Caenorhabditis elegans: one gene and its partner. Changing the gene in region 2 together with the main gene of any one other region gives a genetic interaction. Each region holds a gene or a part of one and is shown on either strand. Other genes may lie near its edges. The genes, in order: lig-4 and atm-1.

What was found.
Region 1: changes in atm-1 (region 2) and lig-4 impair growth when combined (synthetic growth defect), as found in Caenorhabditis elegans (one study listed by BioGRID).

Annotation. Positions count from the first base shown.
Region 1 is NC_003281.10:7,519,399-7,525,463, reverse strand, and holds lig-4 (DNA ligase IV), read right to left. Parts: upstream 4,002-6,065; 5' UTR 3,995-4,001; coding exon 3,874-3,994; intron 3,822-3,873; coding exon 3,522-3,821; intron 3,475-3,521; coding exon 3,161-3,474; intron 3,112-3,160; coding exon 2,989-3,111; intron 2,727-2,988; coding exon 2,513-2,726; intron 2,468-2,512; coding exon 2,317-2,467; intron 2,267-2,316; coding exon 2,171-2,266; intron 2,122-2,170; coding exon 1,670-2,121; intron 1,620-1,669; coding exon 1,509-1,619; intron 1,462-1,508; coding exon 1,315-1,461; intron 1,195-1,314; exon of another isoform or gene 1,109-1,194; intron 949-1,108; coding exon 752-948; 3' UTR 594-751; downstream 1-593. Other genes in the region: C07H6.2 (E3 ubiquitin-protein ligase PPP1R11), read right to left, coding at 4,132-4,455; akap-17A (RRM domain-containing protein), read left to right, coding at 4,767-4,889, 4,940-5,302, 5,357-5,515, 5,562-5,687, 5,866-5,981, 6,024-6,065.
Region 2 is NC_003279.8:181,199-186,379, forward strand, and holds the start of atm-1 (Serine/threonine-protein kinase ATM), read left to right. Parts: upstream 1-2,165; 5' UTR 2,166-2,177; coding exon 2,178-2,258; intron 2,259-2,308; coding exon 2,309-2,431; intron 2,432-2,526; coding exon 2,527-3,011; intron 3,012-4,136; exon of another isoform or gene 4,137-4,211; intron 4,212-5,181. Other genes in the region: F56C11.5 (MARVEL domain-containing protein), read left to right, coding at 53-316, 465-569, 616-768; F56C11.3 (Sulfhydryl oxidase), read right to left, coding at 941-1,147, 1,196-1,302, 1,347-1,418, 1,474-1,573. UniProt on the Caenorhabditis elegans protein: Serine/threonine protein kinase which activates checkpoint signaling in the presence of DNA double strand breaks (DSBs) and other forms of DNA damage induced by ionizing radiation and other genotoxic stresses such as UV.

The DNA of each region.
Region 1 (6,065 bases), on a different chromosome or scaffold from region 2:
TCGTGGCGAGACCACTTTTACAAATACGTCGGAGAGTTTTACAAGAGAGAAATATGGAAATTGCAGAAAAGCTGAACGAAAAAGCTGAAATAAATTCAATACGCGAAATGTTTCTAAGATCAATTGGAATAGTTTATACAACTATTTTACGGAAGAATCTGAAACGTATGGATAGTAGAAAGCAGGAATCAAAAAATGAACACTGACAATATGAACAGTTCTTAATTTTCCTTAAATTTATGTTTCGAATTTCCTTTCTAAACATTGTTCATGCCATGCAAAACTACCGTAATCCGTGCCCACCCCCTGGTGGTAGTTGAGTGTCAGTTGTGTGTCTCTTGTCGAAAATTGATCGGTGTCTTCGGTTCCTCTTCTTCTTCTTTCGTAGCTGATGCCACTACTGCTGTTTGGTATTTTTGTGAATGTTGTCGCATGATGATGCAGAGATGTCTCCAAAGAATTTCAGGGATCTGGCGAGAAAAAGGGACTTACGAGTTATCCTGATAAAATCTCAATTTTCAAGAGACACTGTCAATCCACGGAGGAATAATGATTTACGGTCTAATAATAAACAATTCTTGGACAAATCACTGATGTGTTATATTTTGTTATATAAGATGACAAATTGGTAAAAGATTATTCATAGATCAATATCATATTCACAGGAATGCGGAGAACAATAAAACTGCATGAAGTAGATCTATCAAAAAGGAAATAAAGAGCGATATCACATATAATCGAAATTAGTAAATTATTCCTGAATCTCGAATCCACCTTCGATGGCATGAAACACATCAGAAGGCAACCAAGCCTGAATCAGATCATCTTTATTGCAACGTTCGAGCCAGGCGGGTTTCAGAACAGTACAAGAGTTCGAAGCGATGGCTTGAGCTGTTTTAGGGTGTGTGGATTTTGGAGCAGTAGCAATACATAATTTGGTGGATGGAGCTGAAAAAAGAAGTTCATATTGAAGATCGGATAAAAAGTCTAATTTTTAGAAGATTATATTTCATAATTAATTCACACAAAAAATATGCGCAACTGTAAATCAATCAGATTAAACGTTGTCCGCTCGAGGGTTTCAGGATTATCTTTCTTGTCTTTTGGCCCACTTCAATTGATGAGTAACACCACTAACACAGACCAGCTGGCCGCTCTGAGCCGACTCAACACTTGTACTATTTATCACTGTCTCTAGCTTGTGTATAAGTAGAAGGATATGAGCACAATGGTGACTAATGGAATTTTGAGTTTGTTGTGCGGGGTATGATGACTCGTTGAAAACGACTTCAACTTGAAAACTAAATCACTCACTTATTCCTTTCACTACAGTTGCATCAAAATGTTTCAAGATCTCTTCACACTTTCGTCGAATTGTTTCAGATGTTCCCTGAAGAACGGCGACTTCAATTCCAGTCAAACTTGACTCTAATTTGGCACGTTTCAGACGAACAGGAGCTGCTGTAAATTAAAAGAATAAATCAAAATTAAATTTTCTGAATGTCTACATTGATGAATAGCTTTGCGGGTAATTCGTTCCACTTTCAAAGTATCTGGTTTCTTATCTTCAGAATCTTCTTCATCACTGTCCACGTTATCACCCAATTTACATTCTTGAACTTTCTGAAATACAAATAATAATTCTTCGCTTCCGTTTAAAACTTGACACGTGCCGTTGCATAGTCTGAAAATTCTTCCCAAGTGTTGACCTGTTCAACAGGCTTATCAAGTCTCCACTCTCTCATAACAGGATCAACCAATTTTCCGTTGCGAACACCGTTCGATGTGATTTTAATCACTTGCCAGCGCTCGAAATCAATGTATCCACCATCTCCTCTGGCAATATTTTTCGGTCGTTTTCCATAAAATGTGAGCTCTTCAGGAGCTTCTTCTAGGAGTTGCCCATACTCAAAACGAATCGCCTCGCGAACAGTGTCAGAAAGTCCATAAGAGCATGAGAGGCATAGCTTGTAATCTTGAGTTTTCTCATCAAAAGCCGCAAATCTGTAGAGCGTTTTTCCATTCCTTCCAGCTCCTGGATGTACAGCAACTAGTGCCAGATCTAGATCACAGTCCTTTGATGCAGACGGTTTCAGCTTGAACCATCCATTAGAAGCGCTTCTGAAAATAAAGAATAGACTTTGAACTAGAATATTATTTCCAGCTTTACCTTTGTCCTTTCACGTAAACACTATCTGTTCTCTTCACAACGATTCCTTCTTCATTATTTGCCATTGCTATTTCAAAGAATTGTTGAATGTCCTCTCTGAAAAAAAGTTGATGAAGACCCAAAAATTATGAATGCTTTCGACAAACTTTTTACTCCCCTCCTCATGTTTCGCCACAAAAATTGTATCTTCTCGTTCTTTTTTCAGTGGAGCAATCTTGAGCATCTCGAGTCTCTGATGAAGTGGTGCTCCAAAAAACGGTTTTCCATTTAAGTACAGTAAATCAAACAAGACGACGGCTGAAATGTGAAGTTTTTGCATAAATTTAATTCATTTCAACTCACTTAATTGTTGATTATCGTCAGGTTTGACATGTCGGAATGATAAAACTTGAGCATCTGATGTGGTTGAAGCATCGTTGTGACGGCAAAGTTTTTTCGTTTTCTTATCCCATAACATGAGTTCGCAGTTGAAAATTGCCGATTCACATTCTTTATTGAAAAATGAATGTATACGACTGGAGAGCTTTCCGATTGCCATTGACGAATCACCGTATTCCTGAAAATCCCAAACTGGATACAATTTTTCGAATAAAAAATTTCTAAGTTTATATTTTGAGCCGACTTTTTTTAAATATTATTTTTATTTCTGAATTTTTAAACATATTATTTAGATGTGGATCACAGTACATTGTTAAAGGCACACACCTTCCTACATTTTACAGAAAAGTCGTGTCGAGACCCGGTATCGTATTTGGCCGCAAAACTTCGCGTCCGGGTAATACCACAAATACGTAATAAGTTATTAATCAAAAACAAACCTTCGAAAAATCATTGTTATTTCTTGTAAACCATCGATATTCGTTTCCTTTCTTATGAAGCAGCACATTCTCTCCATCGAATTTTGTTTGCAGAAAGAATTTCTGACCTCCAAACTTTTCAATCTGTAACAATAAATTGTACTTGAATTATGAACTGAATTCCAAAACTCACATTTGCATACCAGTCACCTCTTTTCTGCTTCTGAAGTAACATGGGTGTCCATATTTTAAAAAGATGCTCATCGTCATCATCATTTGTTTCTCCTAATTCGTTGGTTCCTTTGTTTTCTACCAATTTTCCTTTTAGAACTGCTTTCAAATCATGTGTCTGATCCCAAATAGCACAAGCAGAAGGCGATATCCAGTCGAGAATCCTGTTACTTGGGGCTCCAAGAGCTGATTCAACGTTCTTAAGAATTACGTTGAAAATCCATTCCAACTCGTCTTCAGAGCATCTCTTAACGAGTTTCGACATCTTATCTCGTTCTGAAAACTTTTTTTTGAATAGGAAAAGGTGTAAGCCAATAACTGACTGTTCCCATCATCCATTGGTCCCGCCGCTAAGAAATCAAGAATTTCGTTCAACTCGGAAACCGTGACTACTGTAGATTCATCATTTTCAGTTCTATATTCTTCAGAAATCTTTTCAGCCAACTGACGAGCTGCTGTTGATGCATCTTTCGAGATAGTTGATACGTAATCAGCCCTGACGTCGTGAAAAGTTTTTGCCATAAAGCTTGCCAACTTAGTCGGTCCCATGTCGAACTTTCTGAACCTCTCGTAATCCGAAACGAAGAACCGTATTATGACAAACATATCAGATGGATCAGAACCTGAATTTAAAAGAATAACGTCACATTGTAATAGTTCGCCCAATTGTCTTACACTTTTCTTTCCATGATTCAAAGTTTTTCTGAAAGGTTGCTTGCTTTGATTTCACATTTGAAGTCCGCCGAATCTTGTTGAAGACGTCAACTACTTCGTCGAAGATCACATCTGACGCCATGAAGATTCTTCAAAAATAATTTTATTGAACATCTATTCGGAATAACGAACGAAAATAAATAAACAAAAGTATGCACAAATTTGGGAAAGAGACGGACAATGAGGGGTAAAATGGGAAAAATCGATTATGAAATATGCTCAATTAGAGCTCTTCGGCTCTTCGTTCTTTTTGTGCTCGACGTGGCCACGACAATGACCGGTTTCACAATCCGAATCAGAATCCGAGCTTGAGTCTTGCCAATTTTTGGGCTTCTTGTAGATACAACAGCATTTGCTCTTCTTCTTGCCCATTCCTTCGTTATCCACTGTTTCGGTGGCCCAAACTACGTGTCGCCGTTCTGAAGTTGATGGCTGAGCTGGATTTGGACTAAGATGAAGCACCAAGTTCTGTTCTCGAGATGGAGGAACGGTGACAGTAGAGGTTTCAGTGCTTGAAGCAGTTTGTTGTTGAGTGTGGCTCATGTTCTGTAATTTAACAATATTTTTTTTTAATTGAACGAAAAATAGTGGAACAAAAAATAAGCCTGACAAATTCTCGTGAAATCAAGTAAACAGCAACAAAAATGTTTCATAATATTTTGTCCGAGTGGACTTCAAAAGACTGCATGGCCTAGAATCCAAATTCATTCCTCGTCCCCATGTGGTGAACTCCTCTCGGACAACTTATTCGAAGAACAATTTTTCATCGAATATTCGATCGAACTTCAATTTATATCGATGTTTCTTCTATTTTAGTGCAAATTTTAATCAAAAAAATTAAACCTTTTGTCAACATGGCGCGAAATTTTCCCACTGCTCTCGATTACCTGGGATCAGAAGCTGAAGATTTTAACAAGGCGCAACACTTGTATCTGAAACCGATGGCTGTTATAAAAATTACCGTAGTGCTGCCTCGGGTACGTTTTTTTAACTATCATAATTACATCGATTTATTATTTAATTGTAGATGACGATCCCGGGACAATCAATATCTAATTGGGATCTCATGGAAAGACTAAAACGTGCAATTGATCCAATTCAAATGGATTCTTGCAAAGTTCGTGAGAGCAATATCGACAGTGTTATTTTTGAAGCGGAACTTCTTTCGCTAGGAATCATGCAGAAAACGATGAAGATTCTCGATGGATTCTCTATGAAAGTGTCTGGATTTGCTGAGCCCTTGAAAGTTAAAACAAAAGAGGCAAAGCTTGATTTTCCAAGTCGTCATGATTGGGATGATTGGTTTATGAAACATAAGATGGACGAGATGAAACCCGGAGAACGTCCTGATACAGTTTATTTGGCAAGAATTCCAGTGAAATGGTTCTGCGTACGTTGCTCCATAACATTGCATTCGAATTTATTTCACCAAACACATTTTTAGGATGGTTACAATGATCTTCCTTCTGAACGACGTCTTCGCGTTGCAATGGAAGCGTTCGGATCTGTTAGAGTTGTCGACATTCCAATTTGTGACCCACTCCGATCTCGAATGAATTCAAAAATCTCTGGTATTCAGCAAAAAGGTTTCGGATTAGGGCAGGTATCGCAGTGTTTTATTTGTAAAATCAAACGAATTGAATTTTTAGGATGTATTTTTTGAAGCATATGTGCAATTTATGGAGTATAAAGGTTTCGCCACTGCCATGGATTCCCTGAGAAATCGTAAATGGGCAAAACGAATTGATGGACGGTTCTTTCAGGCTAATGTCAAGGTATAGTAGGGTAGTAGAGTTAGTTTGCAATTTTGAAAAATCTATCACATTATTTCTAAACGTTCAATATCAATTTTAAAAATTGCATATTCTTCGCTGAAACGAATCACCTCGTGCCACTCTACAGGTTAGTTAATTTCCCAGAATTAAGGTTGAGAAATAGCTTAAAATTTCATAGGTGGATTTCGATCGATCACGTCATCTCAGCGAAGTTCAAATTGCAAAGCGAGCGGAAGAACGACGTCAAATTGAAACGGAACGACTGCGGCAAGAAGAAGAGGAGTTGAATATCAAGTTTGTTGATGCTACAATTTTAAAAATAACTCACCTCTTCAGACGTCAAGAAGAACTGAAAGTTAAACAAGAACTCGATGATAA
Region 2 (5,181 bases):
CTAAAAAAATCAGTTCCCATTGAAAAAACAAACTGAAAATCAATTATTTCAGCTCTCAAATGGCAGTTGGGGCAATTCGGAGCACTCGACCGTCTTCACAATCGCCGCCTTGCTCTTTCTGCTCGTCATTTTTCTGCTTTTCGTCGCGATTTTCTACCAAATCGGAAATCTTCTCATCCCGCACATCGTCATGCAGATTCTGCTCGTTTTGTGCTTCCTGGGACTCACATGTGCGACGCTTTATGCGCTTTTCCACGGTGCCACGTTTCAGTTGCTCGTCGTGGTTACAAATCCGCAAATCGCCGCTGATTCCATGGTAAGTGTGGTAAAAAATGAAATTTGTTTCCTTGGGAAATTCCTTCTTTTTCCTCAATTTTTCCTCATTTTTTTGCTTCCAAAAAAAAGACCCATTTTGCGAAAAAAATTTTTTTTTTTCATTAATATATGTATTTTAAATTTTCCAGACAATTCTCCCGGCGCCAATGATCACAACAAACGTGGTTTCCGGATTCCTAGTGGGCCTTCTCGTCATTTTCGCAGTCTCCTACTTGCTCATCGCTGTGCTGAATGTGAGCTTTTCCCATGGCGAGACCCATGTAACTTTAATTTTTGCAGACCTGGTGCATGTACGTCGTCATCGATAGTTACCAGCTTTTGAAGAGCCAGAAACTTCAATCTCGTACTCCGTCGGTCGAGGAGTATTGTGCGCCGAAGACGATTCAACTCTCACTATACCCCAATCAAATCGTTCAGGCCACCGATTTTTAGTCTATATTTTAGACCATTTGTTGAATTTTTCTCGAAAAAATCCGGTAAATTTTTGTGTATATATGTCCCGAAATTCTTCACTTTTATCACATGTGTCAGGCTTTAATTTTTTCATACTTTATTTTCGAATTCTGTACAAAAATCTTTGATATATTCTATTTATTCTTCTCAATTAATAATCACACGATCCATCTTTCCACCCGTCTCGCCACCTTTGCATCACATCTCGACACTCGAACTTTGGTTTTCCGGTTTTTTCGTTGACTTTATTGTGTAGCTGGCACATCCATAGCGCAAACGCCTCGCGGCTTTCCACTTTTGGCGGCGATTCTTTCAGATCTTTTCGGAGATCTTTGGCGCAGAAATCGCAGGGATATGTCTGAAAAATTTAGGCGTTTTTGTGGGAATCTTGAGCTTATTAGCTAACTTTTCCTAGAATAGACATGAAACTTCTGGCTCGATCCTTATCCTCGTCGGTAGGCTTTTCCGGGTAGTAAACCGACATTGTGTGTAGCAAATTCCACGTGGATCTGCCTGAAATTTGAAATTTTTGGTGGAAATTTGAATTAAAAGCGAACCGAGCTCATCCTTGTCTACTGGACATCCGTGCAACTTCGCTCCTGTGCTCGTGCTCGGCGTCGTCTCGGATTCTGCAAAGAACTAAAATAATTGAGATTTTTTGCTCTGGAAATCTAGGGAAATCACCTTTTTTCTTTATTTTTTCAGCCATTTCTCTGCCTTTTTTCATCATATCCTCTACACTGACGCATGCACGACACGGCTTTCCATCTGGACCGATTTCCATTCTGAAATTAATTTTTAAACTTGGTTTTCGTTTCGTCAGTTTTAGAAGCCGTTTTAGGGCGTAAACTTATGAAACTATACATAGTCTACGACAAATCTATAGAAATGCATTAAAAATAGGTCAAAAATGTGAGAAATTGCGCAAAAAATGATGCAAAAACGAAAAAAAATTAACTAAAAACAAGAAATGCAAGTGCGCTCCACTGACACGCGTTAGAGAGCGTAGACGCAGAGAAATCTCGAGATGAGGGAAATCGTGGCGCGCGGGAATCAAGCTTTTTTGAATTGTCTTGATTTTTAAAGCCCAAAAAATAGATTTTTGGCGGATTTTTGGTGGATTTTCTTGCTTTGCAATGTAAAAATTAATTATTTGTTGCATCTAATCACTTTTAACAGAGATTTACAATTTTTTTAGTGGTCTGAACCTGGGAAAATCCTTCAAAAATCAATTTTCCCTACAAAAATTCGTTATTTACCGCATTTTCCGCCCAGCTGATCAAAAATTCTTCTATTTTCTCAATTTATTGATAACACTCGCCCACCTCAAGCATTTTATCACCTGAAACTCGTCACACTTTACAATTTGTTTGCAGAAATATGCGAAAATGAGCGTTACTCAGCTAAAAAATCTGAAACACGCGATAGCTCAGCTTCTGGAGTGGGATGGAACGAAAACGGCGAGAAAGGCAAGTTTTTGGTGGAATTTATCGAAAAAACCTGATTTGTTTTTTTGCAGAAAATCGTCGACGAGGTGGTTCTTCTCTATCACGCTCTGGGAGCGGAGGCATTAAGTGAGGATAACCAGGAGATATATGATTTGTATGATTTATCTGCACGTATATTCAACTTAGCTAAGAAAGTTAGTTTTTTTTTTGTTAAAAAGTCGTAAACAACAAGTAAATTTAAAAATAAGCATTAAAAAATATTGAGGCTTATGAGAGCAAAAAATTCCAGGAAATCGAAGAAGCCAACCAACAATTCGAAAAAGAACGAAAAAAGGGCACAAGACGAAGCGAAAAACCAGTCCCAACTCCACTTTTCGAGCTATCAATACAACATTTAAAACGTTGCTGTCAGCAGGGAATCGATCACAATCAGGTGCCATGGATAGCATATTGTCTGAAACTACTGGAATTTCCAATCACAATCACCGAAAAATCGATCGAAAACGAGATTTCCAACGTGCTCCTATTGAGCTCCAACGCCTCACAGCTCCATTGGGCCGAGCATGCTCATTTGAGCAGCTTATGGAAATGGATTTGGAGCCGTGTCGAGACCGCCGATATTGGGGCACTCGCCATGAGAAATTATATGGAATTGGCGGCGAACTTGCTGGAAAACGTGGATTACGTGGTTTTCGAGAAGTCGCCTATTGACCTGATGGCGAAAGTGATGGGAACACTGAAGAAAAGTGTGGAAATGGGAAATCCCAAAGAATAGTGCGTGGAAAACGAGTTCTTGAAATAATGTTCAAAAAATTCAAATTGGCTTGGACTTAGGCTTAAGCTTAAGCTTAGATTTAGGCTTAGGCATAGGCTTACAAGGGAAGTATTTCAACTTATTCCCGGACTTCAGAATGAAACCTATGTCATTTCGAAGAAGACTCTTTAAGTAGGTCCCTACAAAAAATTTAGCGGCAGAGGAGCACTTTGACCTGGAAAAAAGTCGCTCTGAAAACTTTTCAGTGCATTTTTTCACGGCTTTCAAGGCCCGTAAAATGGCTCCAAATGCGAATTTTTGTAGATTTTTGAAGATTTCTAGGATGCTCAGGGGCCGGAGAGCACTCGGAATTTTTTTTGGAATTTTTTAAAATTTTCGAAAAAATCTGAAATTTTTTGAATAAGTCCATGGCAAAATTTTTCAGTGAATATATATATATATTTTTTTTAAATTTCAGAAAAGTTGTCAGTTATTTAAGATCAAAATTGGGTGTTTTTACACAATGAAAATTTTTTTGAGATTTTTCGGAACTGCAAAAACCAATTTTGGAAAAAAATCGGCACCCGGAGTCGAACCCCAGTCTTAAAAAATATTAATCAAACTCGCTAACCACTCGGTCATTCAACGACAATTTTTCTTGTAAATGAAATGGATGACAAAAAAACGTGACTCTTTGATATCTACTTAAATATATAGGGACGTGAGAAATAGCTTTGGAAAAGGAGAGGACGCAGAGAAAAATTTTCAGAGCGACTTTTTTCCAGTTCAAAGTGCTCCTCTGCCGCTAAATTTTTTTGTAGGGGCCTACTTAAAGGGTCTTCTTCGAAATGACATAGGTTTCATTCAGAAATCCGGGATTAAGTTGAAATACTTCCCTTGTTAGGCTCACTAGGGAATGACCAGAATAAATGGAGCGATATTCAAAAAAAATATATTGTATCGGAAAGCTGGCATTCTCTACTATAAGAATATGACTGAAATTTTTGCCCGTTCGGGCTGGAAATCTGAAATTTTTACGTCTGAAATTCTACACTGAAATCAGTGCATTTCCTATGGTTAACAGTGGATTTTTGTCTCTGGCGCCAACAGAAGTCTCACCACAATGGTGGAAGGGCGAAAACATCGGTTCGGTGGTCGAGTGGTGAACGCGTTCGCCTCTTGAGCAGAAGTTTGTGGGTTCGGTTCCCATACATGGTTTAACTTTTGGCCTTTTTTATACAAAATTTTCAGAACGGGAAACAAGTATTTAGAACATTTTTTTGAGGGTTTTACATAATTTTTTTGCTTTTTAATTGAACCATAATTACCCTGGAAACTTTTCAGAAATTTTAATTTTTTTCGAAAATTGTCACTTTTTTCTCCACCAAACCCATGAGAAAATTTGATCGAAAAATTTTTTTTTGAAATTTTTTTAAAAATGCATGAAATATTTTAGAGTGTCACAAATAACCTATTTTTCATTATTTTCAATGACCGAATCATTGATTCTGATGCCTTATCAAGACGTTTTACCAAATCGATATTGGCAAAACATCTTGTTTTTGAGGCTCCATATCTCTGCAGGAAAAAATCGCACTAAAAAGTGATCAACTAGAAACTTGTTAAACACAATGTGATCTAAAACATTTCAGTTGAACACTTTTTTGTAAAAAATTTCGTTGCCGAGTTGGAACCAATTGATTTGAGCTTCATTATTTTTGAATATTCTAAATAGTTAAAGATCTATATCTTGGCAACGAAATTTTTTACAAAAAAGTGTTCAACTGAAAAGTTTCAGATTACATTGTGTTTAACAAGTTTTCAGTTAATCACTTTTTAGTGCGATTTTTTCCTGCAGAGATATGGAGCCTCAAAAACAAGATGTTTTGCCAATATCGATTTGGTAAAACTTTATTTTAATTTTTTTTTTTCATATTATTGTTTTTATATTGGGTCAAAACGTATTTGCTCTGCTAAATAGTTAGCTGGCGCTAATTTTTAATTTTATTATTTTCGTATTTTGATAAATTTCACTGAAATTGTCACTTTAATAGTTTACATTCTATTGGTTTTCTTTTATTCAATGTCTTTTGATATCGGAAACGTGATGTTTGCCTTGCATCGTCATTTTCCCAATCCCCTCCCATCAAATCCCTCGATTTCGAGACATGAGCAGAAGGTGGCAGATCA